3 linked regions of the Tamandua tetradactyla genome follow. The protein of the gene in region 2 interacts with the protein of the main gene of each other region in a pairwise test. Links are inferred from orthologs where the notes say so. Each region holds a gene or a part of one and is shown on either strand. Other genes may lie near its edges.

The links.
Region 1: the proteins of BNIPL (region 2) and GFER interact in a two-hybrid assay, tested with the Homo sapiens proteins (2 studies listed by BioGRID and IntAct). The link is inferred for Tamandua tetradactyla from reciprocal best matches to the Homo sapiens genes BNIPL and GFER.
Region 3: the proteins of BNIPL (region 2) and MIF interact in a two-hybrid assay, tested with the Homo sapiens proteins (2 studies listed by BioGRID and IntAct). The link is inferred for Tamandua tetradactyla from reciprocal best matches to the Homo sapiens genes BNIPL and MIF.

What each region holds. Positions count from the first base shown.
Region 1 is NC_135349.1:55,539,386-55,550,135, forward strand, and holds GFER (FAD-linked sulfhydryl oxidase ALR), read right to left. Parts: upstream 6,398-10,750; 5' UTR 6,322-6,397; coding exon 6,061-6,321; intron 5,646-6,060; coding exon 5,446-5,645; intron 4,541-5,445; coding exon 4,378-4,540; 3' UTR 4,324-4,377; downstream 1-4,323. Other genes in the region: SYNGR3 (synaptogyrin-3), read right to left, coding at 1,399-1,497.
Region 2 is NC_135330.1:4,497,392-4,508,141, forward strand, and holds the start of BNIPL (bcl-2/adenovirus E1B 19 kDa-interacting protein 2-like protein), read right to left. Parts: upstream 5,740-10,750; 5' UTR 5,214-5,739; coding exon 5,170-5,213; intron 4,375-5,169; coding exon 4,279-4,374; intron 4,077-4,278; coding exon 4,012-4,076; intron 3,799-4,011; coding exon 3,574-3,798; intron 1,484-3,573; coding exon 1,301-1,483; intron 1,118-1,300; coding exon 1,015-1,117; intron 852-1,014; coding exon 720-851; intron 1-719. Other genes in the region: exopolyphosphatase PRUNE1, read right to left, coding at 7,389-7,817, 9,807-9,965. UniProt on the Homo sapiens protein: May be a bridge molecule between BCL2 and ARHGAP1/CDC42 in promoting cell death.
Region 3 is NC_135331.1:25,742,139-25,751,705, forward strand, and holds MIF (macrophage migration inhibitory factor), read right to left. Parts: upstream 4,453-9,567; 5' UTR 4,316-4,452; coding exon 4,208-4,315; intron 4,043-4,207; coding exon 3,870-4,042; intron 3,733-3,869; coding exon 3,666-3,732; 3' UTR 3,587-3,665; downstream 1-3,586.

The sequences.
Region 1 (10,750 bases), on a different chromosome or scaffold from region 2:
CCCTGTCCCCTCTCTGAGCGAGAGGCTGGCGCTCCCGTGGGCGACGCGACTGGTGGAGGACAGGGACCGAGGCTAAGAGTCAAGCCCAGTCACCCCGCGTGGGGCCGGCGGTGTGGCCCCAGAGCCCAGCCGAGGGTGTGGGAGCAGGCACCTCGTCCGGAGCCGCGGGGCGGGACCCGCGGGAGGTCACAGCGTTGGCAGGTTAAGGAGGGTCAGCTGCCCAGAGCTGCGTCCAGCCCCTGCGCGGAGCGGCCCTCGGCACTGAGGAGGTGCGTGGCCCGTTTGTAGCGAGCCAAACGGGAGGAAGAGGCACACAGCTCAAGGAGTGTGAGCACAGAGACTTAATGTCCCCCTGGGGTCCCGCCCCGGAGGGGCGCGGGAGGGGTGCCATGACTGCGGTTACTGTTGAGATCACCGTAATAACATGTGACCTCGGGTTCAGTCAGCCCTCAGCATCCTGCGCCCACGGCGATAGGCAGGCAGGCTGGCAGCCCAGGTCACTGTAAAGCAGACCTTCTCGTTTAGCTCTGGGTAGCCCCGTGTTTCCAAGAAAAGAGCTCTAGTTCCAACTTCACCTCGCCTTGTTCCTGCTCCACCTCGGAGAGACCAAGCTCTCCGTTTAGTCCAGGGGGAAACTGAGGTGCAGGGCGTGGCCACGTCCCCACAGAGTGGTCCAGCAGCGCTTCGGCTTCTCAGTATGGTCAGAGTCACTCAGGGGTGACCTGCGGCCTCCTGCCCCCTAGGGACCGCCCTGCTTGACCACAGGGCTTGAGGTGGAATGGCACCCGCCTCACATCTTCCCTGCCTGTAAGGGTAAGAAGGGGCGAGCCACCTGGCTAGGGATGCCCAGTGAGCTAGACTGCCTACAAACGTGCCCTTCCCACGCCGCCTCCAGGAAGTCCTCCCAGTGCAGAGCCCCTGCTGGCTGCCCCACCCAGAAGAAGCCCCAGAGCCCCACCCCAACTCACAGCTGCACCTGGGGGCCCTGAGAGGGGCCAGCTCCCTCCGCAGGAACCTGGAAGGTGTAGGGGGTAGGTATGGGGCTCTGTCTGAAACCTCTCGGTTCCCGTAGACCCCCCACCCCGTGCTGGGGCTGAACCCCCAAGTCCCTTGGCGAGTCCCACCCCCATCCCGGCGCCGGCTTCCAGGTCGTGAGAACCCGCAAACGGAGCGAGGGCTGAGGAAGCTGGGGAAGGTCGACCTAAGGGAGCGTCGCGGGGAGGGGGCGGCCGGCGGTGACCTCTCAAGGACCCGGGCAGAGGCCGCCCGCCCCTCCCCCGCCCGCAGGTGGGCGCGCCCAGCCCGGTGACGTCACCCCAACCTGCGGCCGTGCCGGGGAGGGACCGGGGGAGGAGGAGGGTCGGGGCGGGGGTCGGGGGCGCGGCGGGGGCCACTCACCCAGGACACGACCCGCAGCAGGGTCTGGGGCCGCCGCGCGAAGCTCACGGGGTCCAAGGCGACCCCCGCGCGGCCCGCGCCGAACGACGCCCCCTCCATGGCCCGCGGGGCCGGGCCGCGCGCCCCTGCCGCCCTCTGTCCTCTCGTCCGTCCGGCCGGCCGGCCGGGTCCGAGACCGCCCGCGGCTGCCCGCGATGCTGCTACAGCTGCGGCCGCCGCCGCCTCCCGAGAGCGCGCGCTGTCCGCGGCGGGGGCGCGCGGGGCGGGGCCGAGCCTGCGCCTCCCCCCACCTAATCCACGCGCGGGGCCAGAGTCCTCCTCCCCTCTCCGCCCCGCCCTCAGGCCCCCCATCACCTGCTTGACCATGGCCTGCCCATCCTCGGGGCACCCCCGCACCCACTGCCTCTTGGAGGGGGCGTCCCGGGCCCCAGCGGGGCAGGGCAGGGGCTGAACCCCCCAGCAGATGGCCCTGACCCCGCTGATAGGGAAGCTGGGAGGGGAGCATGGCAGAGCCCACATCTGGGGGGAGGGCATTGGGGCACCCCTGATCCTTTCAGGTCTCCCTGACCCCTCCCCATTTGTGGGTCCCGCTGATTTCGCGGAGGTTTGGGGAGAAGCATCAAAGGTGGGGAGCTCAGTCGAGTAGGTGCCTCGTTGTCCCCTGTCCCTGCCGAATCCCTTCCACACTGCCCCGCGCGCCACAGGTGAGGGGTCCCTTCCAGCACACCTGTCAGGGTCCCGAGCCACTAGTGGGTTTCTGTCTTAGGTCATGAGAAGTGACTTCACCCACTCAACATTTCCAGGACCAAGCCTGTGATTCCTGGTGGAGGCCAGGCCTCTTACCCCTTTCCCATCCGTGTGAGCACACAGCACCCCCAGGCCGGGATTGGAACCCAGGGCCTCTGACAGCAGGGCCTGTCCTGTGCAGAAGGGAGCCGGCAAAAGGGGCTGGCTTTGGGTGTGAGGAGGCTGTAGAGCTGCAGTTGGGGTGGGGAGGAGAGTGGGGGGCCGAGGCCCAGGGAGGAGCCCATGGTGGGGGGAAGGGGAAACCAAAGATGCAGGGTGGGTGGGGGTGGAAGTGGGAAGGTCTGGCTCGGGAGTGGGGTGGCTTCAGCACTTGAGTGCACAGCGCCCTCCCCCTTTGGGACCTGAGGGGGGCTGTAGCTTGTAGGAGCGGGGTGTGTATGTGTGTGCAAGAGGCCTCTGGGAAGGACAGCACCCCACCCCCGGGGACCCACAGGCTCTGCTTGCTCACCTCCGCAGGGGCCTAGCTGGGTGTCATGAGGCCAGGGGTGCTGCCCAGCACATCCACCAATCTTCTAGGTTGTTACACTGACCAAATCCCATCTTTCCCATTCGCCATCTTTTACTTGATCATTTTGGCATCGGCACCCAAATAAGGTATACCTGCTTCTATCTTGAAAAATAAACCCTCTCCCCAGCTGTCCCATCACAGTTCCCTTTGAGCTGTGGGTCCTCGGCCTCTGAGACCCCTCCTCCTGTTCCCCCTGCTTGGGCTCTCCAATATCAGATCTATCCAGAACCCTAAGCCTGTCTCAGCCTGGAAGCCTTGGAAATAGAACCTGATGCAAAGTTTGTGTGCTTTTATTGGGGGGTAAAACCTTGGGGAAGTTGAAGTTAGGGGGAAAGGAAGTGAGGCAGGCTGGGAGGGAAAGCAATTACAAGCAGTGGGTTGGAGCTGTCTACAGCTCTGGAAGCCAACGGGAAGTCTCGTGTCCCCTCTGCTTGGGGCCACGGGGCGCTCTGATCTGTCAGTCAGGTGGAGGCCTGCAGCTCCCAGGCCAGGTGAGGTCACACCAAAGGTTGGCATCTCTACCAGAGACACACTGGGGAGGAGGTGGAGCTCTTAAGAACACAGGGGCAGGGAATGCAGTCATTGGCCTTTCTGGCTGGGAGTCAAGAGGGCTGAGCAGATCCAGGTGGCTGGGGGTTGCACCTCTGGGCCCCGTTCACCCCCAAACCTCCTTACAGAGACTTTATGGGCTCCTTTTTCAGGCCCCAAATTCTCATGACTCTGAAAATCTCAAATATATTTATCATCCAACCTTTGCTTGCCCCCAGAGGGAGCCTCCCTCTCTGCTGAAAGGTGGCTGTAGCTTCCTCACTGACCTTGGCCCAGCGCAGTGGCCACAGGGGACTTTCAAAGGTCAGATCCTGCCATTCCTTCACCCCAAGCCCACAGGGGCTGCGCCTCACACTGGGAATCAAAGCCATATCCTCCGCCATAGGCCTCCCCTCCCCTCTGACCTTACCACAGGCTGCTCCAGCCACTCGGGCCTCCTTGCTGTCCCCAGCCGAAAAGCAGTCAGGCCCCCCCAACTCCTCGCAAGTCCAGCAGAGAACACACAATTCAGGTTCACAGGCACCTCTCCAGCATTTTATTTTGGTTTCAAACTGAGGACGTGAGCCCCTGCTGGCAGTCCCAGTACTGCTCGGGGGACCTGTGTGATGGACAGGTGCCACCTGCGCTGTGAGGACACCAGATCCTCAGACAACCCCACCCCCATAGGGCTGAGCAGAGCAGGAGACTCAAGCCCAGGTCTCATTCCTGAGGTGCAAGCACAGTTGCTGTGGCCATAGGCGCTGCAGCTCTCACAGCTTCACAGTAACTGAGGTCTTGGGGAAGGGCCATCATCCGGCTACAGCCCCTTCCTTTCCTGTGGGGAGCTGGGTGCCGGGGGTGGAGGTGGCAGAAGGCCATGTCCTCAATGGCGAGTGGTGGCCTTGGCCCTTCCCGTCCCATTCACCTGCAGTGTAGCCCCAGAGGGCTGTGAGGCAACATGGCCTTGGCTGAGGAGGCCATTGGGGTGTCTGCTGTGGGCATCTCTACTTCTACTCCACACCTGAGGGGGGAAAGGCCCACGGGCAGCATCCTGGGGACGACCTGATTCACACAGGACATACTCAGGCTCCGACGCACTTTAATGAGCGCCCATCCCCATGCCCACCGGCTGCCCTCTAGTCGCAGGAGCCATCCTTCCAGCCATCACGCCAGCGCTCATCCACCTGCGAGCAGTCGAAGTCAGGCTTGCCCAGCTTGCGGTTCACCTCGTTGTGCAGGCGGCACAGCCACTGCGTGAAGCACGCCCGCGTGCTTGTGTCCGGCTGGTTCCTGTATATCCTGCGGGGGAGAGGGGCAAAGCACATGGAGCATGGTATGGGGAGGCCGGTGGCCCCACTGTCTCTGCCCCTAGCCAGCCCCCTTGACAGCTCCTAAGACAGGGGAGCTGCTGAGAACTACACCTGGAATGTCCTCTAAGGGACGGGGTAATCCCAGAACAGGGTTGACCCTGCAGTGTCCTGGTCCTTCAGGGACTCCCAAGGCTGGCCAAAAAACCACCCAGGGAGCAGGCAAACATTGTCAAGGAGCCCGGGCAAATATTAAAGAGTTGCAGGCACTCCCAGCAACTTTACAACCTTTAACAGGAAATCTCTGGCCCCAGGCAGTGTGGAAGAGGTGGGACCAGCATGCTGGCATAACTGCAAACCAGACTGGTTTCTTGGCACCCGAGGCCCTAGAGCCTCAGCGCAGGGAGAGCCTTGTTCTCCTGCCCAGACTTCCAACAGTAAGGGCTGCCCTGCCCCATATGTCGGCCCTGGGAAGGGCAGAAACACCTGTGTCCACCTGATAATGGCTCTTGGTTTCCTCAACGAGGAAAAGATGCGTCTTGGGAGCAAAAACAGTGGGTCTCTAAAGTCTTGAAAGCAGCCATCCTGCTCCAGATGTTGAGGCAAGTGGACCCCTCCTTACTCTGACCAGTCTCCTTCAGTGCTAAGCAGGGCCAGCCCTTGGGAAGGCTCTGTAGCCACAGCAAGCAGGGCCCAGCCACAGACCCAGGCAGCTTGGTCTTTGAGGGGGGCCCAGATGACCCATTCCCTGCTCTGCTCATGGTCCCAGCTCAGTGGCACCTTTGTCACTCTCCAGACATTTCTAGGCACCTCTTCTGTGACATCAGCTAGGGGCCTCAGACCCAAGCTCCCCCTTACAATACTGTGTCACCCACACGTAGTGCGGCCATAACTCACCTCTTCCTTATGTCTTCAGCACACTCATCACATGGATAAAACTTGGTAAATAAATGTATGAACTGGGCCATGTCTTGCTGCTGTTCTGGGGTGGGAAGGTCCGGGTAGTAGGCAGCCAGGGTGTGGAGGACAGCCCAGCTGTGGCGGCCCAGTTCCTCGCGGTCCTGGGGACAATCCTCTCTAAACTTGGTCCCCCGCTGCTGAAGGAAGCCAACCAAGGGTCAGTTCAATCTCCCCCCAACCAGAACCCCACATAGCTACCCCTTTTCCGGCCCCAGCTGGAGGCCCCATTCTCAGGGTAGGAGCCCTGCAGCCCATCTGGCCCACGTACAGCTGAAAGAGGCAGGGCCTATGTTGGGTGGCAAGGCTTAGGAGTAGCCAACTCTAGGCGACAGAAGACTGTCAAGCAAGAGACTTGTGGGGCCGCTCATCCTGGGCCTTTGGGAAGCCTGCCCCGGGCACCTGAGAAGGTGCGCGGGGCTGAGGAGGGCGGCTGGGGCCTGAAGCAGGCGAGCCCGGAGCAGAGGCCGAGGAGAGCGTGCGGGCGGCGGGGATGGGAGGTTGCGCAGGCCTCGCGGTCCTCGCAAGGCAAGTGGCGTCCCGGGGCATCTGCACCTTCTGCTGTGTCCGCATCCACGTCTTGAAGTCCACGCAGGCCCGGCAGGCCCGCCTCCGGGCGAGGTCCTCAGCGACCTGAGACTCGGAGGCTGGCGCCGCAACTGGCGGTGGGGCCGAGGAGGCGCCCTCTCTCCGTCCCGCACCCCGGCCTCGCGCATCGGTCGCTAGATCGTCCAGCACCTCAGAGCGAGCACCGCCGGGTAAGAAAGAAAATAGGCTTCCGCGGCCGAAGCGCCCGCGCTCGTCGGGCGCCGCCATCTTGCCCGCGCAGTGGTTGCCGGGCCAGGTCGGCCTCCAAATAGGCCTCCACTTCGGTCTCCAGGCAAGCGCGCGCGCCGCCGCCAGGGCGCGGCCACAGGAGCCGGGAGCGCGCGGCGCGGGCGCGGGCGCGGGCGGGGACGCGGGCGGGGTCGCGGGCGCAGCCGGGGGCTGGGGTGCAGGCGGGGGCGGGGGCGCAGGCGCAGGCGCGGAGGCTGGGTCCTCGTTGGGGGCGGGGTCGGGGGCGGGGTCCTGAGTGGAGGCGGAGCTGCGCCCCGGGTTGGAGGCGGAGCTGCGCCCTGGGGTGGAGGCGGAGCTGGGGCCCGGGGTGGAGGCGGAGCTAGGAGCCGGGGCCGGTCTCGGAGGCGGGGCGGTGGGACGGGCCCTCGCGCTGGCGGAGGCGGAGGCTGCGGCGACCGCCCGAGCTGCGGTGGTGCCGGCGGTTCGGCCCCTGCTCGCGCCCCGGGGCTTCGATTTCCGGGCCGAGCCCGCCTTGCGTCGCCCATGGCGCGGCTCCCGCTTTCTCCAGTAGAAGAGCAGCGTGTTGTGGAAGCCGCGGCGCTGCCGCGTCGTAGACTCTGGCTGAGGCCCAGAAGAAGTCCGCGTGGCGGCCCGCGACGCCCCCATCGCTCCGCTCCTACTGTCCGGTGTGCCCGCAGCCAGGTTCTGCGCTCTCACCCGGCGGGCGCGCCCTGTGGCCGGCAGCCCGGCGCCATGGCAACGGACGCCTGGCAGCGCAGGGCGGTGCCGTGACCGCACAACCGGAGGTGCGCTCGCAGAGCCCCTGGGTCCGCGGCTCCGCCTAGAGACCAGCGCCATGGCAACGGGCGCCTGGCAACGCGGGGCGGCGCCCGCGCGAGAGGCGCGGCGTGTGTTGGGTGGGATCCTGCGGCCCCGAGAAGGGTTAAAGGCCTCCAGGAGCCCTCGGAGGTACCTCAGCTGCCACCCGCTCCTCCACTCAGTCCACAACTATCTGTGTAGGCTCGGGGCTCAGCGGGAACAAGGCCCCGTCTCTGACTTCTCCTCCTAGTCCAGAGAACAAGACAGAAAATACACGAGGGGTCACAAATGTGTTCATTTACAGACAGCGGTGAGGGCCATGAGGGGGCTGGGGTAAATCCGGGAGGCCTCCCTATGGGAGGTGACCCTTAGGTAGAGGCGCAGAGTCACACAGGGCCGAAAGGGGAGGGTGAAGGGAGGGGAGGTCCAGGACCCGGCAGGGTCGACCACGTGGGAGCAAGGTGGCCACGTGGAACTGGGCATGGATCCTGAGGGCATTCGGAAAGTACCGGACGGATTTGAGCAGATCCACCCTGACAGGATCTGATTTTTGTTTTCGGAGGCCAAATGAAAAACTGTATGGGGCAAGGTTGGCAGTGAGATACTCGGGAGTAGAGGCTGTTGCTGTGCGGGAGGAAATAAAGTGGACAGGGTACATGGCTGCTGGGGTGTGGGGCAGGGGGCTGTACTTGGGGTGGGGCAGGCCTCAGCATCCCTCTAGGTGACCAGCTCCCCACCCCCTGGCTTCTCTCCTCTCTCTTCCGGGGGAGCTGGGGGCGGAGTGGATCTATCCTGGGCCTCATCATGGCCTTCCCAATGACAGTTGGACTGAGGGTTGACTGCAGGTCAGGCCTGTTTGCCACCTGGACCAAGACAGGGCAGGTGTGAGGGCTTCAGAGAGCTGCTGCTCCGAGAGACACACAAAGGCCCTTTGAGGAGGCCAGGGCAGTTCTGGAAGTAGGCCCCAGAGGCTGGCCCCTCCCAGAAGTGCCTGGGGTGGGGGAGTCCCGACACCCAGCACCAGGAAGAACCACCAAGTTCCAGAAATTTTCCCTGTAAGGAAAGGGCCCCTGAGAGCTGGGGCACGCAGACGGGCCTCAGCCAAGAGATTCCATGGCCTCCCCCCATGGTGGCAGCTGGTAGGGAATGGATCCCTCCTGCCCCCTGAGGCCTGCAGTAAATTGTGGTACATCACAAATGCAGGGGCAGCGTCCACAGCAGCCCAGGCTGGCACCACCCTCATCCCCCAAGTGTCAGTGATGGCAGAGATGTGCTCTCTTCCTTCTGCCACAAGTCTCAGCTCAAGGGAACTTCTGGGGTGAGCCTGTAGGGTCCACTCCTCCCTCACTTCAGGAGCACAGCAAAAACTTACATTAATAATCCATTTAATACATTCTCGTAGGAGTCAGTGTGAGGATTGAAAGCCCATCAGGCACTTTAGGCCCTAGTGCACCCGCAAGTGAATTCAAGGAGAGCGGAGGGGCCCGGGACTGGAGGCTCCCCAGGGAGTGCAGGGCGGGAGGGGCAGGGCAGAGCTGGCCCTGGCTCTTTGAGGGGCCACCAGCCCTTCTTCTCCCCCTCCAGGGCCTCAGGCCCCGCCCTTCCTGGGGACAGTGTCACACACCTTCAGGGCAGGGCAGCTTCTCCTCTCCCGCCTCCAGCTCTGCTGTGCCCCAGCTCTCGGGGTGGGGTGGGGCAGCAAGAACTGTGCAAAGGACCCAGGGGCTCCTGGCTAGGGAGGGGCCTGCTCGCCAGCTTGGGGATCGGTGGGGAATTCCGGGTCAGTGTTCAGGTGACCCCACTGGTAGGGAGGTGGCAGGACGCTGGCCGCCGAGGAAGCCGCAGCACTGGCCGGCCCTCGCCATCCAGTGTCCGTGTGCGCCGCGGCCCTGGTGCAAACCGGGCGCCTCCAGGTACCCGATGGGGTCCCCACCAGCCCTAACCAGGAGGGCAGACGTCCCCAGCCCAGCCCCGGGAAGCGCCCCAACTTTTCCCTTCGCAGACATTTGCCTTCTCCGTGCGCTGGTCGGATGGCAGCGACAGTTTCGTGCGCAGAAGCCTGGACGAGTTTAGAAGATTCCACGTGAGTGACCTGGGGTGACCCCGACAGGGCGGGCCGGCTGCCCAAGCGGCCTCCCTTTGCGCCCCCGTGGTCTCCCAGACCGAGCCCCCCCACCTCGCTTCTCGACCCTCCAGAAGACCCTTAAGGAGACCTTCCCGGTGGAGGCGGGCCTGCTACGGAGATCTGACCGCGTTCTGCCCAAGCTTCGCGGTCAGGCCGGGTAACTGGAGGGGGCGGGCAGCAGCGGGGGGAGTTGGGGGTGGGGCCCACGGTCTGTCCTGCCGTCCTGCAGATGCGCCACTGGTGGTGCGCGGGGGGCGCACGGGCCGCGGCCTGGAGCGCCTGTGTCTCCTGGAGGCCTATTCCCGGAGCCTGCTGGCCTCGCAGGAGCGTGTGGCCCGGAGCCCGGCGCTCCTTGGCTTCTTCTCGCCGCAACCCCTGGACCTGGAGCCCATGCTGCTCCCGGGCAGGTATATGAGCCGCCCCCACCCCCAGCAGCCTTCGGAGGACCAGTCAGCACCGAGCAAAAATCAGGAGGTGGGGCGGACTTGGGGGGTGCGGGCTGGTCCCCACCGCTCACCCGCGCTGGCTGCCTTCCCAGCCTGGTGATCCTGCCTGCCCCCAAGGAGCCCCCAGCCCGCCCCACGGGCAACCTCGCCATTCGGAGCGTGGAGGCCCAGAGGCTGTGCTGTCTGCAGCCCTTCCACGCCCAGGACACAGGGGGCCGGCCCTTCCACACGCGGGCCCAGGAGGCCGTGGACGTGCTGCTGCGACACCCCTCAGGTGCAGGGCAGGGGTCCAGGGGAGTCGCCTTTTGCCCTCAGGCCCCCAGCGGTCTGGGAATCTGGGCACACCCTGTTCTGCGCACAGGCTGGTGGCTGGTGGAGAACGACGACAAGTAGACGGCCTGGTTTCCAGCTCCCTATCTGGAGGAGGTGCTCCCAGGCCAGGGACAAGAGGCACCCCTGCCCCCGGGAGCCAGTGGTATGAGACCGCCATTCCCCCGTGGGCAGTGTGCAGAAAGGGTGGGCAGGAGGGCACACCAGGAGGGGAGGGGGGAAGAAAATGAGCTGGGTGCATCAGGGCCCTGGAGTGTCCTCTTGGCACCAGTAGTGAGGGAGAACCCCAGGGCTTCAGCGCAGTCCTGGCGCCAGCCCCACGGTGACCCCCAAGGCCCCACCCACAGGGCTGCATTTCTGCGTCTCCCGCGCCTATGAAGGTGGCCGTGTGGACGAGTTGTCAGTGCCCGCCGGGGTGCGCGTGCATGTGCTGGAAACGTCAGACCGTGGCTGGTGGCTGTGCAGGTGTGCAGGGGTGGGGCTTGGGGCTGGGCCACACCGAGCCAGGCACGGGACTGAAATCTGACCAGGCTCCGCCCTTCCCCCCACCCCCCGCAGGTCCAGCGGCCGAGTGGGTCTTCTCCCCGCGGTGCTGCTACGGCCCGATGGCCTGGGTATGCTCGTGGACTGGCCGGGGCTCCACAGCGGGGAGGGCAGGGTGGATGAGGCCCACGGCTCCCCAGAGGTGCCCCTGACCACGAGCCCTCCCCCGGCTGTACCGGCCCGGCCCACACATAGTGCCATCCAG
Region 2 (10,750 bases):
TTATTAGCCCCCCATGCTCCTCATTTTTAGAAAACTCTCCTTTCAGAATCCCGCCTCCTGGTTTTGGCTACCCTACTTCTCTCCTGTGCCCTTACCTCACATAAGTTCTTTGTTCCCTTCCATATTCCTGTACCTTTTTTTACTTTTGTTCCATCCCTCCATGATCAGAACTATTTACAAAACTCCAGGTGGGAAAAGACCAGTAAGGAGGGAAAAAAGGAATGGGGCAGGAAGAAAGAGAAAAGTGAGCAAAGAAAGATGGTAGAAACAATGGAAAAAAAAGGAACATCACGGGTTAAAAGGACACGTGGCTCAGTGATGAAGTAAAAAAAGAAAAGAAGACAATGGAGATGTGGAAATTTAAATAAAGAGCAAAACTAGGAGAAAATGAAGAGCGCCTTCTACATGTCAGGCAAAATACTATATTATTGACTTGATTTTCACACATACCCAGTGGCAAAGCAATTGTATTATCATTTCCATTTTGCAGATAGAGAAACTGAGGCCCAGACAGGTTAAGTGATTTGGCCTAGGTCATAAATGTTAAAGATTTGAAACCAGATTTTTCTTACTCCAAGAGAGGACAGAAGATAGGACAGAGCTAGAAAGGGATGTAGAAGAATACAGAAAGAGTGGAAGGGACTAAATGGCAGAAGTAAGAATGAAAAGATGGAAAAAAGATTAAGAGGGTTGGAGCCCTTTTGTCTTAAGAGTCTCACCGCCGATCCAGGGTATGGTAACACTGGCGCATCCAGCTCAGCGTTGGAACCTGGGCCCTGCTTGTGCCTCCGCTCAAGTGAACAAGCAGATAATTTTCAGCAACTAGTAGCTCCAGAGTTCCCACTATATACCTGTAGGGATGAAATTACCAGGGAAGGTGTGTGTGTCGGGCAATGGGGAATGAGAGGGACATTATTATAGACTCTGTAATCAACTACTGATCTTGGAAGTGGTTCTTTCTTTGCCTTTTCTTCCTGAACAACCTCTCTGCCTGTCTTTGGGCTCCCACCTCACCTAAACAAGTGTTCCATGACGTAGGTGTAGTTGGGGATGCTGCTTCTGGGTAGATAACAGGAAGCAAAGAGGATGACAGCATTGAGGCCATCACCATGGTAACCTGAGGTGCATACAGGGAAAATTCATTATCAACAAAGAGCCAAGTGCATTTATACAGGTTGAGGGAGTCTTGAGGTCTCTGGAAATTATAGGAAGGATTTTGAACCCAATAACTGAGTTCTCAGTTTTGCATTTTTTTCCAAGAATCCACAGTTCTTACCCCTCTACTTATGCCAGCCAATACCTCCATGAGATAGGACTTTCTTATAGGGTTCAATGACAGTCATGTCCACTCGCTGCTCCTGCTGTCCTGTTCGGAATACCCTCCAACGGCGACCATCTTCTCCAGCCACATCCCACATACATCCCCGGCCCAGGCTTTCAGCTGCCTCACTGGCCCCCATGCTCTCTGTTCGGGGCAGCTCATCTAAAAGAGAAGGATGGGGAAAGATCAACAAGGCAGAATTCCTACCTTACATATTTTTAATATTTCCCAGATTCTTAGAGTTTACTACTCCAACCTTTTATTCTTCAACTTTTTCCTTGACTCTTCATGCCTAATTTGTCCAATCAACTCAATCCCTTCCTGGTTCCTCCCCACTGTATCTCATTCATTACCCCTGCCTTCTCATTAAATTATGGCTCTGGGATGATCTTGCACTATGGCAGGTCTATGGCCATTGCTAGTACAGTTTCTTCTAGACTCTCTTTCTTTACATGCTTTTCCCTAGATGAGCTAATCCATTCCCATGTCTTTAATTACCACTAGTAAGGTAAAGATTCCAAAATCTGCCCTCTAACCCAGACTTCTTTCCTAACTCCAGACCCATATCCCTAAATGCCTAGAGTGGACATTGTCACTGTCATCTCCAATTCACCAGGCCCAAAGTGGAATTCAGACACATTCTCTTCTCCCCCTCCCCCATGGTTCCTGTCTACATGAATTATCCCATCATTCATCTAGCTACCTGAAAGAGAAAATTGTGTGTCATCTGAGACTCTTCTCTGTCAGCCCTAAAACTAACTGGACCCTACATCCTTTTCCACCTGCCTCCATACTTTTCTTTCATCATCTTCTCCACTACTATGGTCCTGGTTCATGTTATTAGTGTTCTCACCAAGACTTCATACTAGCTTCCTAACTGGTGTCCATGCTTCCAGTCTTGAGCTCCTTCACTCCACTCCCTACACCACTGCCAGAGCAGGCTGTCTTTTCTCCCCTACTATATATCCACCATTCTGCCCAATCTTTCAATAGCAATTGAAAGAGCTTCCTCATTAAAAAAAATAGTTGCATAGTAGTAAATTGTATAGGTGTACAATTACAGAGTTAATACTGTACTGATGGAACTTCAGGTTGTTTCCAATTTTTTCAGAGCCATCAAATTTGATCATGTTACTCCCTTTACGATTCCCCATTGCTTCTAGGCAAAATCTTGGCATGACAGTAAGGGCCTCCGTGAATTGACCCTTACCTACTATTCCCAGCATTTTCTTTTGTCATTGTTTCTTCATCTCCACAGCTGAATAGCCATGCTATACTCAAGTTGCTTCTTCTACCTAGAATGCACTCTCTCCAACTACCTAATGGACATCAACTTTAGCTTTCAAAAATTCATCTCAATAATGAAAACCTTGTGTCTGATGCTCCTTTTATCTACCTTATCAACAGACGAGAAAAACATATGGAATAAAAATAAATAATAGGGGGAACAAATGTTAAAATAAATTGAGTGTGAAATGCTAGTGATCAATGAAAGGGAGGGGTAAGGGGTATGGTATGTATAAATTTTTTTTCTGTTTTCATTTTATTTCTTTTTCTGAATAGATGTAAATGTTCCAAGAAATGATCATGATGATGAATATGCAACTATGTGATGATATTGTGAATTACTGATTATATATGTAGAACGGAATAATCATATGTTAGAAATGTTTGTGTTTCTTTCTTGTCATATTTTTAAAAAATTTTTAAAATTAATTTAAAAATCAAAAAAAATTCATCTAAAGCAGGAGTGGGCCACAGTGGCTCAGTATCAGAGTTCTTGCTTGCCATGCTGGAGACCCGGGTTCAATTCCCGGTGCCTGCCATGCAAAAAAAAATCATCTCAGAATCACCTCTCCGCAGACCCGACCTTTTCCTTCTCTATGCCTGCGATGTAACTTATATACATGTACATCATAACCCTTAATTGCACCCATTTCCTGAGGGTAGGGACTATCTTATTCATCTTATAACCCCAGTCCTAGCTCAGTGATAGCATGAAACATCGTTCAATAAAGCTTTCCTCCAAAAATAGAGGATTCCATCTTCTACTAACTATTCTTACATTCAATCTGTAAGCTCTACCTTTCCATTCTGAGGAAATTGATTTTGTGGCCTTACCTCATGGTCCTCACCTTGCTAGTTCTATTTTCAGTCCCATTAAATCCATCCTGGGCTTCTTTAACACTGGATTCTACTACTACTACTACTGGCTTCTACTATTACTAACAAACCCCAAGTTTGTTTCCCACCTTCCCATTCAAATTCATGTCCACTGTCCAACTGCTCCGAGTCTGAAGGCGTCTCCAATTCATCTATCTCCAGGTCAGAACTGCCATCAGGAGAGGAAGGTGCAGAGTGAATGGGAGAAGTTTCATTATCTCCTGTCCCCTCAGTCAGATTCAGCTGCAACTCTGGGGCAGAAAGACGCTTACGCATGGGGCGATGGCCACACAAGGCTAAAGTGCTGGGAGTACCTGGGGTTAAAGGAGGGGAGAAAAAAATAGAAAGATGCATGTGTGTTGCGGGGAGGAGACCTGATTATAATTCCTATATATGAAATAATATGGGGTCAACTCTGGAGAAGGATGGACGCAGGACACTCGGGAAAGCAGAAGTAGAATTGACAAGGGACAGCCCTTTGCTAGACTAGAATTGGGAATTTGAGGCCTACTCTCTACTTCACCTACCTGCCTGTGAGCCTCCTTTGGAGTCTTCAGGATCTTCAGAAGGGCCAGCCTCCTCCGGAAGCAATCTAGAGAGGAAGTGATTAAAAGGGGCAGTGATGTGGGTTGAAGGCATCCAACCAGGTGTCAATTTATCAATTCTCTCTACCTGCTATGATTTTATTGCCTCTTTCTTTTTTCCCTTTCTTTTCTTCAAGTCCTAATTCACCATCCCTGCCCTCCATTTGTGACCAATCCCCCCTTCTCCCAACCTCCTTCGCACTTTCTCACCGGGGGAATTCTTCATCCTGCCATTCTTCCTTCAACTCCAGCTCCCCAAGTCTCAAGGCTGCTCCTAGTTCTGCTGCTTCTGTGTTCTCCCTGGCCCTAAGATAGTCCCCCAAGAGAGGATTTTCATGAGACGATAATCTAGGCAGTGTCTTAAGGAACTGGTAGAAAAGACTGTATTGAAGAATTAAGGAACAGAGCAGAGGAAAGGCCTTAAAAAGAACTCAGATCTCTTATCTCCTAGACAAATGTTTCTCCCAACTTCACCATTTGCTGGAAGATTACTTGTACTGTTGGGTTTAGGAACGGTGGAAGAATGCACTACGAAGCTAATCATTTTTATTTCTAAGGCAATTGCTCTACCTGCCAAGTAGAGGGCAGAGGTGTTCCGCATTATAAAGGGTTGGAACCTAGAGAGATCCGCCCAGTGGTCAAGGGACAAAGTTGCACCTAGTCAGGCCTGCCTTCCCTCCACCATGCTGGGGAGTGGCTAGAGAAACCATGGCCTAGGTGGAAGGGTGGGGGGAGGTAGGGGGAAGAGAGATGAGCTGGGATGGGGAACCTGGACCTCATCTCATTTCTGGGTTAGCTTTCCTGATGGTCATTCTGGAGGGAGGGGGATGGAAAACAAAGATCACGGGTAGATTCATCAGATAAAATATTGAAACTTCCTTTCTTTTTTTGGCCAGGGAATTATTCTGGAATTCCATTTCTCATTTCCCATACCACACGAATACTTCCTACTTAAAGCCACTCTAAGCTGTTCTCTGCAAATTAATTGTTACAGTTTCATCTACTCCAGGAACCCTGAGATCTGACCTATAAGAGTGGGACAGTGGGAAAGTCCCTCAGACTATTCACTCCCCATTTCCAAAAAAGTAAGCCAATACTCACCCAAAATCTAGTGCGTTTTCCTCTGCTTCTTGTATAGTTCCCATCTTCTAAGTCTTCCTGCCTCCTTCTGTTAAACACTTGGAATTGTTGGGGAGCTGGAGTGGCCAGCTCCCCAACACTTCTTTACCCTTTTTCTGTCTCAGCTGCTGTTGCTATTGCCTCCAAGGAGGAGGGAGGTGTGAAAGGGAAGTAAACTCATCTTCAAACAGGTTTTGCTACCTCTTCTCCCAAGGAGCAGGTTTGTCCAAAAGAAAAACCCTGCCTCCCGTGTGGGGGCGGGTTTTGGGGAGAAGAGTGCATTTCCTAGGGTGACTAGTCTTGGGTGAGTCCAGGAAGCTAATTTGTTCTTCTTTCCAGACCCCTTATAACCTTCTGGAAGCAACTTTGTTTAAAAAGGAACTGTAGTAGCCATTTAGGTTATAAGACTATGTTGGGCCTACTTTTTGAGCATAAACAGAATTGGGAAGAGAGAAGTTTGTTATAAGGAGAGTTCTGGTAGAAAAACAAGCTAAAGGAAAGGCTGAGAATGAGGGAAGTTGGAAGCCTGTGCTGCTCCTTATTCCCAAAAAAGTGTCATCAGAAAGAAGACAGTAAGTATAACAGGAAGAAGGGACATGAATCTTTAGGAGGCTAAAACAATTATCATAGGGAAAGACCCAGTTATAATTATAAAAAGAGACAGTAAGACTCCAAACAGGAAAAGAATATTTAATACTTTAACAAAATGTAAAATTAAGTACCCAAGTTACAAAACATAAATTCCTTTGGTTCAGCGATCACACTACTATTTTTACCTTCCAAATAGCTACAGACATTGTCCCCTCTAAGTGGCAGACTGCCTCCCTCGTACTGGAAGACGTCATATCAAAACCATCACATATCTCACTGTTCAGTGAAGTTGTTGGCAGCCTACATGGAACAGAGCAGTGGGTTGGGGGTGGGGGTCGGTCCCAAGAAAAAAGGGAGACTCTCCACATGCAGAACCAAGAGTCAGCGGGAGGGAGCTCTTTGCTGGACAACTATGGTATGAATCATCCCCTTGTACATGCTACACTAGATTGAGTCCTTCGGTACGATCCCACATAAACAGACAATCGAGTGACCCTGAGCATTCCCAGGGAAAAGAGAACAAAAATTCAGAGAAGCAGAGGAGACAAAGGATGGCAGGTAAGAGGCAGATCACAGAATATCAGAGAACATCTAATTCAAACCATTAGTTTTACAGACAGGGTAACTGAGACCCAGAGAAGTGAAGTGTCTTACCAAACTACACACAGTTCGTGGCAGTCAGTATTAGAATCCAGTTAGTTAGTTCATGCTTCCTTTTAATATGAGCAGGAAGAGGAAGAGATGGATAAGAAAGTGATAATTCTGCCAAGGCAGGGGATGGAACCAGGGCTCTCACTCTGGTTCTGCTGTCTTTTGGAGGAGTGCCTTTGAGGCCCAAAGGCCTTCCTGGGTGCCTCCTGAACTCTCAAGAACAGGGAGTCTTCAAGGTCTCTTCAGGGCCTCTGTGGCTCTGGGACAGAGGGTGTCAAAGAACCTCACAGTCAGGCCACCCGATCAGGACAGAAGAAAGCCTCCAATCTGCTCCCAAACAAGACCTGCAATAGTCACAATAAACTCAGAATGGAAAGTCAGCCATCTCTGAATCAAGCTGTATTACCAACAGAGGGTAGAAAGAAGAGTCACGGAAATGGAAATCTGCTAAAGGCTGAACTGTGGAGCAAGTTTCCAAAGCACACTCTACAATGCATCTAATTTTAAGTAGATATTCAATAAATACTTGAATAAAGTGAATAAAGAATACATGGAGACAATCAAAGAATCCATGGTTCTATGACAGATATTAGCTCTGTTCAAGATCCTTGCCAAGGGCACTTTTGGAGTACATATTCTTTTTGTCCTACTTTCTTGGGACTGAAGATGTATTGCATTGCACCCTGGCAAATTAAATAGAGGAAAGTCAGTGTAGATCTAAAGAATAAAATTAAATAATAGCATTTTTATGATTGGTCAATTGGGGAGAAAAGCTAGAAAACCATTCTTCACTGAAAGCAACTGCTTTCCTTCACTTCTTTCTACTTCCAGGTTTATGAGAACAATACACCAGATCCTGGAGCAATGAGGACAGAACTGCTGAAATTTCCAAACATCTCAAAACATGCATTTGGGATTGGTCAAGCAGCCTCTCCCACTATCCCTTCCCCTCCCAAGAGTCACTTCTTTGACAGGGAGGCAGTGGTAGACTGTGACAGTGAGATCTGGCTGCACTTCTCAAAGATGGCCTCAGCTAAGAGCTTAGGCAGTCCCTGATCCAGAGGGCACTCGTCCACCAAACTGTTCATGGGTGTGGGGGGCAGCAGAGGGTCCTCCTCATCTTGACTTATTCCAGGGATCAGGGAGTTACTTGCCCTGTCCATTTCCTTGTCCAGCTGCTCCCTAGACACACCCACTGTCTCAGGCTGTCCTGAAGGGATCTTCATGGAGTCAAAATATGCTGATAGGGCTTCCTGGAGCAGAGGTAGAAGTTTCTTCCGAGAGACCTGGGTGTTGCCTTGATGATAGGCTTGGAGGTTAGGGTGGGTGCTTGGGGCTGGGGTCAGGTTTAGGGAGGGAGAGTAGGAGTGTTCCAGGACTCGGCATATCTGAGGAGGAGACAAGAATGGAGGTATGATGTATCAGTTGGAGTAGCAAAGAACTGAGGCTTCTAAATTAGAGGTTTCTCCTTATAGAGGAGAAAAGACTTTTTAAATTAAGTCATCCAAAGTTTACTTTTATTGCTTGCAACACAAGGAAGTTCAGCTAACATCCATTGTGTTTTACAAATATTTGCAATCATATATTTCATTTTATTGATGAGTAAACCAAAGCTCAGAGAGACCAAGTACCTTAAGCAAATCACGTAGGTAACAGCAGAATCTGAACCAGAACTCAGGTCCCCCAGCAGCTAATCTAGTGTTGCGTCCAAGTATATTCCTTACTTAAAAACTTGAGCCCTATGCTTAACTGGGAAGAGATTATCTCTCTCCTGAGGTCAGGGGAAGAACTAAGGCAGAAAGAAGGAATGAATAAACAAAAGTCAGGGTGGGAGATATAAAATATTGAGACTTTACCTGGCACAGTGCCATGTCTGGCCATTTACAGATATTATCTCATTTATTCCTCACAAAAAGTTTATAATATTGGCATTTCTATTACCCTCATTTATAGGTGGGGAAATTGAAAACTGAGGCTTAAGGAGGTTAGGTACCTTGCCTAATATCATGGGAATATGAAGCAAAGCTGAAAGTCGAAACTAGGTTTGCACTAAAGCCTGAATTCTACATCACTATATAATACTACCCCTAACACAGGATGAAGAGAGGGAATGGAAGAGCAGCCCATGAAAAGGGGACTCCTATTTCCAAAGACAGAAACAGCCTGGGCAATGGTGGAGTCATCTGATATTCTACCTAGCTTCCAAACAGCAACACAGAAGGCCCTAGATTCAGGAAGGTAGGAAGAGGTACTTCTTGTAGCCAAAGCTCCCTTTCTTTTATGATTAGGAATAGCCACCATTTACTGGGTGCTTACTGTGTGTCCAGCAATGTACTTTACATATATTATGTTTAATTACAGTATTAGACCATTGAAGTAGGTGCCATGATGCCATTTACATATGAGGAAATAGACTTAGAGAGGTTAACTGATTTGCCTTGGTCCAAAGAGCCAGTAAGTAGCAAAACCTAGGACAGAAAATCAAGTCCACCTGCATTTTAAAAATAATACTTCTTTCCATGGTGTTAAACTACCTTCCACTGAATGTATTATATTTGCTTCCTGGGGGGGGAAGACAAAGGAAAAGAGCAGTGGAAAAGGAAAAGGACAGACATACATTTTTTTTTTTTCTTTTTTTGACATGGGCAGGCTCCGGGAACTGAACCCGGGTCTCTGGTATGGCTGGTGAGAACTCTACCTGCTGAGCCACCGTGGCCTGCAGACATACAGTTTAAGAGTAAAAAGGATTATCCAGTTGCCTTCACCAAGATTCACCAATCTCATATAACCCAAGCAAACCAAAGAGTTTCCTAGACTGCCTTAAGTCCACTTTTAAATTCTTCTGGGTTTTTCAGTAGTTAAAAGAAGGGGGAGGAAGTGGGGAAAGGTGGCCAAACTGAAGATCAGGAAAGAAATCAAACCTGCTCCCAGATCACAAAGTTCTCACTATATAGAGTAATTAATCCCTGCATAGTAAGGAACAGAAAAGGTTTCCCGTGTGTTTCCAATTTTTAAGGCAATAGGATAAAAAGAAAGGAATTAATTGATTTATGATTAAACCAAGAATTGAATTTCAACCCCAGATTTATAACATTTGCATCTAACTAGATTTCAAGTTCCTTCTAAGTAAGCATCCTTCTAAAACACATTTAGTCTAAATGTGTCTCTAATTCTCTTTGACTCTCCCTTTCTCAGTAACAGTCTGAGTAAGCCTATTCACATATACAGAAGATGGAAAAAAGGGGAGGGGACCTTCGCAAAATAGGACAAGGGACCTCTGTGTAAATACAACAACTAAGAAGAAGAACTTAGAGCACAGAGCAACCCTTACAGGCAGAGCTCTGCAGGACCCTCAACTGGAGAAGAGACAGACTCACCACCATTCGGAGCTCCACATGGGGACAGAAAATAGCCAACTGCCGCACCGGCTCATCGTGCATGTTGAAAAAGATAGTCATGGCAATCAGGACATCATAGCTGTGTGCCTGGCAGAAAGCATGGAGATCAGCAATGAGGCCAGCCCTCTGCAGAAAGGTCTGAAAGAGAAGAAATGGAAAAGAGGGATAAAGACTACAGCTGGATCATCCTTGTTATCATCAACAAAAAGTTCTTATGGTTTCTTTGCATGTTAACCCGGGACTTGTGCTCCATAAAAGAGGGACATATGGGCTAGGAGACTATGTGGTAGAATGAGGAAAGGCTTTGGATTCAGACAGAATTGGTGTGAAGATCAGTTCTTTGACTACCTGGCTATATGATCAAGGAGTCATGTTATCCCCTAAACTGCAGTTTCTTCATCTATAAACTAAGGATAAAATACTTATAAAATATGATTGCTTTAAGAATTAAAAAATGGTAATGTATGTAAAGTACAAGACTTTACTGCTTTTGCAATCAAACAGCAAATCTTTGCCTTGTAGGTATTTATTCTAAAACAGAACAATGGTACATACAAATAAGAACAGACATATGACAACTGTATTTTTGACTCTTCCTTTTTTGCCAATTTATATGCTTTACTCTTCTCCAAAATCTAGTACAGTATTTATTTCCTCCAATGAACTAGGAAACTCATCTCTGGTTCGCACTCTCAAAACCTATCCTGCAGGTAGAAGCAGCTTGCTGACAGCTAAAGTAGTGTAAGAAACATCAAGTTGAAGTGGCCTTAAAAGATTACCTGCTTTTGGGGTTAAAGTAATTCAGAACACAGGGGTAAGGAAGACATTGTTTATATTTTAGAATCACACATACTCTTTGAGACCAAAGGAAGAAAGGTTTATTTGGTCTGGAACCAAAATTATCTATAGTGCATAATCTAACC
Region 3 (9,567 bases), on a different chromosome or scaffold from region 2:
ATAAGCCCATCAAATTTTTTTCCAAGAGAAATGGATAATATTAGGTATGTAGAAAACCAGGTCACTGGGGGGCCGGGGGAAGGAGACTCCTCATTTGCAGCTTTTGGGTTTGGATCCCTGTCACGGGGCAGGGGGGTCCTCTCTCTTAGGGGGGCTAGACATGAGTGTCTCCAGTTGGGGCTGAGACTTCCAGGAGTGGGAGGGACAGCCAATGTCCAAAAGCTGGCAATCTTTGTTCGTTTTTGACGTGGGCTTCAAACTCGGAAGCGAGGTGTGTTCTGTCTGCCCTGAACACCTGAAAGCCACTGCTTTGGGGGTGCCGGAGCTCAACTTTCTGGGGAGTTTGCATGTGGCCCCATCTTGCACCTGGGCCACTGCTTTCCTGGCCTGGATCCCCACTTAGGGTTTGGGGGGCTGCCACCTGGGGGGGGGCACTGCTCAGCCGGAAGTGGGGACAAGACGGGTGAGGTCTGCTGATGGGGAGAAGCATGGTTTTATGGGATCAACTCTTAGCTCCCCTTTAGGGTACAGAGTCCAGGAAGACACAGGCAGCTGCCCAAAAGCCCTGGGGACTAGCTAAGCTCCCGGGCTCAGCTGACAGCTCCCAGATTGACTTTGATATTCTACTCCAGAGCCAGGCAGTAGTGGGGGGTCCCCCTGCAGACCCCACGGTCCGCTCCCCTCAAGGGCCCCTTCCTACCACCCCCTGTGGGCCATGCAACCTGAGCGGTCCCAGAGCCAAACCCTAGCCAAACCACCAAGGTTGGCCCAAGCCAGGGGAACCAGAGCCCTGCCAAAGACTTCCTCCCCATTATGGAGATGGGGAAAGGGGACACGGGAACACCCGCCCTCTCTGTCCCCTCCTTCGGGTGTCACCCGAGGATGTGAGATGCCTTGGTTCTGGACTCAATGTATTGGAGTAGGAAGGACGTCTGGTGAATCCCTTCATTTCACAGATGGGGGATACTGAGGCCCACAGAGGGAACATGGCAGGGACTTGCTCTGAGCACCTGAGAAAAGCTGGCTGGGTTCCGGGTCTCAGAGGGAACGGGGGCGGCCACTGTGGGAAGTCGGAGAAGCAGGGGTCCTGGGGGAGGCTGGGGGTGGGTGCCTTGGGGTGGGTGAGGCAATGGGTGCCAGGGAGGCCAGCTTGCCAGTCAACTCCTGAGCCCCCAGCCCACGTCCACAGGCCGCTGGGGAGACCCAGGGAGAGAAACGCCAGCTCAGAGCATGGGCCGACAGGGCAGGGACCTGTGGGTGTGTCACCCCACAAAGAGTGGCTTCGGGGTGGTTTTCCAGGAAGACGGGCGTGGGCCTGGGCTTGGATCACTGCCTGGGGGCCCCAGCTTGGCCAGGTGGGTGACAAGGGTCCCATGCACAAGAGCTGCCCCCTGTTCTGCTGGGGGGCGGGCCCCAGGAGACACGCTGTTACTTGGGGAACAGGGAGAGGCACGTGGCTTGCATGGGGTGGGGGTGGGGTCATTCAGAGATGGGTTTGGAAGGCTGACCTCCACCCTGCCAGCCAGGGGGCAGGGGTGGGGAGGCCAGCAGTCGATGTGGGGTGGGAGGGGGGAGGTTGGAACCCAGGCTCTGTCTGGAGGAAGCAGAGTGGGGCTGGCAGGGGGTGACCAGGGTTGCTTGGTGGCCCTTGGGGACTTGGGAGGAAGCCACTGCCTTGGGGACACCCAGCAGCTGCAGATCCCCGCCCCCGCCCCATATGTATTGCACCCTGACTTAAAAGCAGAGTAGCCCTGACTGGGGCCGCTGGGGTTGGGGGGGTGGGACAGCACAGCAGGGAACCTGGGCATCAGTTTTTTCATCTGTGAAATGAGGGAGTTGGACTTGAGGCCCCTGCTCTTTTGTCACATAGAAGAGGGCATGGGGCCCAGAGGGAAAAGAGATTGTGTTGGGACTGGGGGAGGGGCCATCTCAGCACGGGAGGCTCCCCCCAGGAGCAGAGGGGACAACCGTGTGGCCGAGCCAGGGTCCCTCTCCCCAAAGCCCCTGAAAACCGCGTGGGCCCTGGGAACACGTTGCAGCGGGGACATTTGCAGGGCAGGGTAGTCACTTCTTCCCGCTGTCCACTGCTTTCCTAGAAGGGAATTGTGGCTGCCCAAGGTGAATGGGTGTGGCTGGGCAAGTGGGCGGCCGGAGGGGGGTAGCCCCTAAGGACGGGGGTAGCCCCTAAGGACGGGGCTCCCTGTGAACCTGGGGGGGGGGGGGGAGACGGATTCGCAAGCTGGCCAGGGCGGGCAGCCCCCCACGGGACCACTCGAGTGGCCAAGCGGCTGAGGTGAGCACAGCAGGCCCCCCTCAGCTGCCACGGAAGAGAGAGGCAAGGTTTGGGTCCAGGGAAGCCAACATGTCCTTGGCTTGACAACTAACTTGTGCAGGGGCCGTCCCCAGGTCCCTGCCCAATGGAGCCCGGAAGCAAGGATGATGGGGGGCTATGCTGGAGGGAAGGCACAAGTGCCCACCCCAGGCTCTCCTCACCTCCACTCTTAACAGAAATAACAGGCTCTAGACTAAGGATCTGCCCGGCCACCATGCTTTCCCCAGGGCCTGTTTCCAAAAGTAGATTCATGTAAATGCCCATGGAAGTTTTCAAATTTGCCTTCCATCTAGGATGTGCTCACTTGGACAGGGACTGGACAAAAGCTAGGGGTCTCAACGGACTATGCATAGCTGGGGTGGGGGGTTGTCCAGAGACCAGGCTGCACACCACCCCAGTTCAAGCTGCCTTAAAAGACTTTTCCCAGCTGGCTCGGTGGTGCAGGAAGTGTGTGTGGGGGTTAACACATCACTTTAGTGGCCCCAGGGCTGGCCAATTTCTTGTGGTGCTGGGAGAGGGGAGCAACATGGCCTGCTGTAGAGGTACCCCGCCCCCATCGCTTGTCCAGGTGGTGGTGTTTGTTCAAAGTATCCCCTTCCCCTCCCCAACCCCTGCATCTGATCTGGCTTGAGGAACCAGGAACTTCCTTGCCCTGGGTAAGTGGGGAGAGGGCCTTGCCACATGAGGTGGTGGGGGCCTGGGGGACCGGCAGGGGTGGGCGACTGGGCATAACCAAGGAACTCTGCATCCTGCACATTTCCACCCACCAACACACCTGGGGACCGCCCCCAACCTCCCGGCAGGAACAAAGGGACATTCCCCATCAAGAATCCGAGATGCCAGGCCAACCAATGAGTGTGACCAAGGGGGCTTTCCCTCCCCAGCCGGAAGACGGGGGTGGGGTGGGATGGGGGAGTGTAGCCCACCCCCAGATCCTCACCTCCAGGCTAATCAGATTGGCACTTCCCCCTTCCCCCACTCCCAGGCCGGCCCCGCCCCACCCACGGCACCCTACGTGGTGACCCTGGCGGTTCCCGCCCTCAGTCCCAAGGCTGTGACCCAGGGCCGGACGCCAAGGAGGTAACGGCCTCCGGGGACGCAGAGGGCTCGGGCTGGCCGGCCCAGGCTCCGACCCGGCCCCGCGGCCTCCTGGGGGGAACTCCATCCCGCCCCGGCCTCGGCGCCACATTCCGCGTCCCAAGGGGGTCCCCCCGCGGCGATCCCTCCCCAAGCCAAGGACGCCCGAGGCCGCCGTGGTCTCTGAACCGTTTATTTCTCCCCACCGGGGGTAGGGGTGGGGGGCTGGGGGCCACGGTGGGAGGCGGCCCGGCGCTCAGGCGAAGGTGGAGCCGTTCCAGCCCACGTTGGCCGCGCTCATGTCGTAGTAGTTGATGTAGATCCTGCAGGAAGAACGCGGGCGCGGGGCGGGGCAGGCTCAGCCGGGGGACCCCGGCGGGACCCAACCACCCAGGCGTCGCGGGCCGCGCTCCCCCCACCCCCTCACCTCCCCAGCCCCCCAGCCCCGGGCGCTCCGCACCTGCCGGGGCTGAGGTGCAGGCGCTCGGCCAGGAGTCTGCAGAGCAGCTTGCTGTAGGCGCGGTTCTGCTCGCCGCCGATCTTGCCGATGCTGTGCAAGCTGCAAAGCGCACACGGCTCGCTGGACCCGCCGAAGGCCATGAGCTGGTCCGGTACCACGTGCACAGCGATGTACTGCGGGGCGGGGAGGGGCGTCAGCCCTCGCGCGAGGACACCCCCGCCCCCGTCGCCGGCCCGGAGTGCACCGCTCCCCCCTCGCCGCCCAGAGCGCACCGCAACCCCCCAGCCCCCGAGCCTCACGCCCCGCCCCGCACCCCACCGCACCCCATCCCCGCCGACCTGGGCCGGCTTGCCCGTGGCCTGCGCCAACTGCTGGGTGAGCTCGGAGAGGAGCCCATCCGGGACGGAGCCGCGGGGCACGTTGGTGTTCACGACGAACATGGGCATGATGGCGAGCGGGTAGGCGGGCGGACGGACGAACTGACAGACTCACTGAGGCCACACGCGCTGCGGCTGCTGCCCGGGAACCTGAACTACGTGACCACCGTCCTGCGCCGCCTCCGGATAGGCTCCGCCCCGTGACGTCACGGCCGAGGGCGGTCCCGCGTCCTGCGAGGCCCAATGGCTGACCCGCTCGCTCAGCGAGGCCGCGGCAACGCACCGCCCCGTGACGTCACCGCCAGCGGGTGTCCAGCCCACCGCGAAGCCCAGCTGCGATTCCGCCCCTCACCCCGTGACGGCCCCGTCTGTCGCGAGGCCCACGGAGGCCGAAGCTCCGCCCCGTGACGTCACACCGCCCCCCCCCGTGCCGTAGGGCGCGTGTCCTGGAGACTGGTGGTGGCCCCCTGCCCTTCCGGTGCGCACGGCCGCAGGGTCGAGGCCCGCGCTCAGCCCGCTACGCGCGCCGGGCTCCGCGTCCCGATCCCAGGTGCTCCGGTCGTGCGAGCGTGAGGTGGGGAGTGGCCCTCTAGGGCCGCAGCCCTGACCTTCCCGGTGGTGTGAGGGTACCGGGATGTCCTCGGGGGGGGGGCAGGAAGCGCTGGGGACGGCCCAGCGCCCGGATCGCGTGGGCTCCCCCGCGGCTCTTCCCCCGCCCCCAGCCCCGGTCCCTGAGTCATCACTGAAAAGTCTTCAGTTGGGAAGCCTTGTCTCCCCACCCAGCAGTGCCCGGCCTGGAAGTGAGGCAGAGAATGAATGAAGGAAAGCTAGCTATGACACAGCAGGAGGGCGAGGCAGCACCCAGGGCGGCGCCTGCACACTCAGGGAAGGCCCCCGAGTGGACACTGCCCTGGGTGGGACTGGCCTCTCTCTCAAGTCTTGGAGGGGCACGTTGCGTATGACCCGGCCTTCTGAGAGCTCCAGGAAGAATGGTCCTTGGGCTCTGGCAGGTGCCTTCCGGTTACGATGGCAGGCGCAGATGGGCGTGTCGCAGCACCAGCCCAGCCTCCAGGTGGGAGGTCCCAGGTCCAATCTGACCCAGATCATTTTTATGCATGTGGCCTGAATTGGAGCTGTTGGGTCCCTCTAGGCTGAGCCCTCAGCCAGGTCTCTTTGCTCTCCCAGTCGTGCAGTCTTAGCTGTGCCCCCAGCCCGTTTCCCCGGAGGCACCCATGGCCCTCTCGGTTTTGTCTCCAGACCAGGGCAGTCCACCAGGCTCAGCAGCCAGCTCCATGTGTCCCAGCCCTAATGCACGACGACTTTCCCTCCTAAACCTGATCGTCTGCCAGTGAAATGTCCCTGTCCTCTTAACCAACCATCAGTTCTTCCCACTCCCGCACCTCTGCCACCTGCTAGCTAGTGGAAGTTTCTAGACCGAGTAGCTGCTTTGCCAAAGTGGGTGGCAAGTTGGAGTCTGCAGGCTGCGATGCCCACACAGGCAAGCCCCCAGGGTTTTCAGGTTGCTTTTGTAGCATAGGGGAGTCTTGTTATGTACCCTCCTTCGACCTGTATCCACAGGTCAGTCAGCACCGTCTTTCTAGAAGGGCATCTCAGCAGCTGCTACGATTCCCAGGCCCAGCTCTTACAAGCTCAGACATTTGACTAACCTCTCTGAGCCTTGGTTTCCCTATCTGTAATTAAGGGGTGACAGTTGTGTCCACCTTGCAAAAAACAGGGGTGTTGTGAGGTGTGAACGGCCAGGCAGTGGTAGCACTGTTGCCATACCCTGCTTCCCTGCCAGCCTCCTCCCGCCCCCCAGGCCTGAGCCTCCCTTCCCTGCTCTCTGAATCTGGGCACACCCCCCTTCAGTGACCTACTCCTGGCTTCTGGCTCGAGCTGATGATCGATCACCCTGGATGATCTTTGCCACATTTTTCCTCTTCTGACTGGCTAGTCCTCCAGACCTCAATGTAGCTGCCACTTCCCTAGGGAAGCACCCAGAGCCCCTGGCTCAGTCACGTCCTTCAGGGCCTTTCCCACAGCATCATTGATGATATTTCTGTTTGTGGTTAATGGTTCAGGTCTAGGCAGAAGGCTCCAGGGTGGCTGGGGTACCACGACTGTATGCTAGCCTCCTGGCCTGTGACCTCAGGGGTACACAGAATGACCCCTAAAGGAGTCTAGACACTGGTCCCCAAAACCTGTGCACATGTTACAAGGCAAAAGGGACTTTGCAGATGTGATTAAGGTGATGGACCTTGAAACAACGAGATTAATCCTGGAATATCTGGAGGGACCCCAATCTAAAATCCCACACGTCTTTAAAAGCAGAGACTTTTCCCCATCCAGAGACAGAGAGACTCAAAGCCATAGAAGAACTTGCTGTATACAGCCACTGGCTTTGAAGATGGGGGGGTGGGGTGGCCGGGGAACTCAGTCTTGCAATTGCAAGGAACTGAATTCTGCCAAGAGCCTGAAGAAAACTGGGGAGCAGATTCCTTCCTTCCCCGGGACGCTCTGCACCTACCTGGCCCATCTGAGACCTGAAACTTCTGACCTCCGCAAACGGAGATGATAAATGTGTGTTGTTTTAAGTTGCTAAATTTGTGGTCACTTGTTATGGGGGCAAGAGAAAAGACAGACAGACAGACACCCGGCATCCATAGGGGGGCTCATAATGAACTGTTAGGTGGTAAGTGACAGGACAGATACACCACCAGAGTCCCTGGCTAGCAGTTGTAGCCATGGGACAGGCTGTGGCCACTGACATAAATGGAGGGTTCATGGGGCAGCATCTGCTTTGCTGATGGAGGCGCCACCCTGCCCCTTCCCTGGAGATGTAGTGGCCCCGGGGCACCTGTGAGCTGGACAGGATGGGGTTGGGGACCTCGAAGGGGCCAGGTGTGTCCGGATGCCACTATAGCTGGGCCGGCTGTGCTGGCTTCTGGTTAGATGAGAAGAGCAAGCCCTTCTCTGCTCAACCCCCTCTCTGCTCAACCCCCTGTGTGTTTGGGTTTCTGTCATTTTGCAGCCCCGGTGTTCCTCCTGGATGGTCCAGAGGACTTACTTCCTGGGTGCTGCCCGTGGGTGAAGGCTGCTGGGTGGGGGGGCAGGGAGAGACCTTCCCATGGTGTCCGGAGACGCTGGCTGGGTGCAGAACACCCAGCGGCAGGCCCTCAGGCAGGCTTTGCATCACTGGCTGCCTATTCCCTGCTGGGGACAAGAACAGTCACCTCCAGAAGCACGGAAGGAGGCAAGGACTGTCTTTTGGGGCACAAGGGCAGCCGCTTCTAGGGGCTCAGGGACTCTGGTCACCACATCGGAAGAGTGGTGAAGAGGGTCTGGCATGCCACTCTCACAGAATAAAAATCCCAACTCGCCTTCCAGAAACAGGCTCCCCAGCCACCTGCACTCAGGCACCCACCCCATTGTCCACAAAGCCTTCCCAAACCCAGGGCTGGGCGGGCAAAAAGCCGGCCCGGGCCCTGGGCTGGTGCCTGGGTACCCCTCGAGATCCTGCTACCCTCAGAGTGGAGCCAGGGCTGGGGGTGGGCCATGAGCCTCCCCAATCCTCCTCCACCTCCTCCAGCTGCTGCAGCCTTGGAGAGTGCTGGGTCAGCCCAGCTCCCCCACGTGGGGGCCTCCGGGGCAGTCGCAAGGACCAGGTGGCACTGAATGTGAACAAATAAGAGAGACTCAGTGACAGCCCTCTGGGAGCTGGGCAACCCCTAGACACAGGTAAGGGCCAGGTAGGAAGGGCGGCATCAGGGCCCACCCAGGAGAGAAAGGGTGCCTCCTGGCCACCTGCCCATCTACCTTCAGGAGGTCTTGTATTGGTTTGCTAAAGCTGCCAGAATGGCTTTTTAAATGGGAATTTGTTTTAGTTATAAGATTACAGTATGTCTAAGGCCATAAAAATGTCCTAACTAAGGCATCCAGAAAAAGATAACCTTGACTCAAGGAAGGGTGATCTGGGAAGGCATGTGGCCAGCATTTGCTGGTCCTTGTTCCTAGTTCCATTGCTTCCAGCTTCTGGTGCCAGTAGTTTCCTAAGTGTCTGTGGGCCCCCACTTAGCTCCTCCAGGACACAACTCTGGGTTCTGGCTTGTTAGCATCCCATGGGAAGACATATGGCGACGTCTGCTGGGCTCTGCATCTTCATATGTCCATGTCTAGGCATCTGCTCTCTCTGTCGGCACTCCAAGCATCTTCAAATGTCTGGGTCTCCTGTTAGCTCTGTTGGCTCTGAAGTAACTGTTCTCATAAGTGTCTGTATTTGAGGTTTCTCCAAAATGTTTCCTCTTTTAATGGACCCTAATAAATGAATAATCAAGACTCACCTTGAATGGGTGAAGCCACATCTCCAGCTAATCAAAAGGCCATACCCACAATTGGGTGTGCTACATCTCCATGGAAATAATAATAATAATTCAAAGTTTCCCACCCTAAACAACAGATCTGGCCCTACAAGATTGGACTCGAACCCAGAGTGATTTGAACAGTATTTGCAAAGTCCCCTTGGGGGAATGGCAAGAAAGGGGGGAAATTCAACTTCCCCATTAGGAGAATTCCTGATGCTCCCACAAGCAGTGGGGACAATCAAATCAATAGGTCGAGCCCTCAGTCTTGGAGTTTATTTATATGAAACTTATCCCTGCAAAGGATAGACTAAGCCTACTTAAAATTAGGCCTAAGAGTCACCCCCAAGAGAACCTCTTTTGTTGCTCAGATGTGGCCTCTCTCTCCAGCCAACACAACAAGCAAACTCACCGCCCTCCCCCTGTCTACGTGGGACATGACTCCAAGGGGTGTGGACCTTCCTGGCAATGTGGTACAGAAATCGTAGAATGAGCTGGGACTCAGCATCAAGGGACTGAGAAAAGGGGGAAGAGAGAAATGAGACAAAATAAAGTGTCAATGGCTGAGAAATTCCAAACAGAGCCAGAAGTTATCCTGGAGGTTATTCTTATGCATTAAGTAGATATCACCTTGTTATTCAAGATGTAATAGAGAGGCTGGGGGGAGTTACCTGAAAATGTAGAGCTGTGTTCCAGTAGCCATGTTTCTTGAAGATGATTGTATAATGATAGAGCTTTTGCAATGTGATTGTGTGGTTGTGAAAACCTTGTGTCTGATGCTCCTTTGATCTACCTTATGGACAGATAAGTAAAACATATGGAATAAAAATAAATAATAGGGAACAAATGTTAAAATTAAAAATATATATATATATATATTGGGTAGATTGAAATACTAGTGGTCAATGAGAGGAAGGGGTGAGGGGTATGGTATGTGTGAGTTTTTCTTTTTCCTTTTTATAT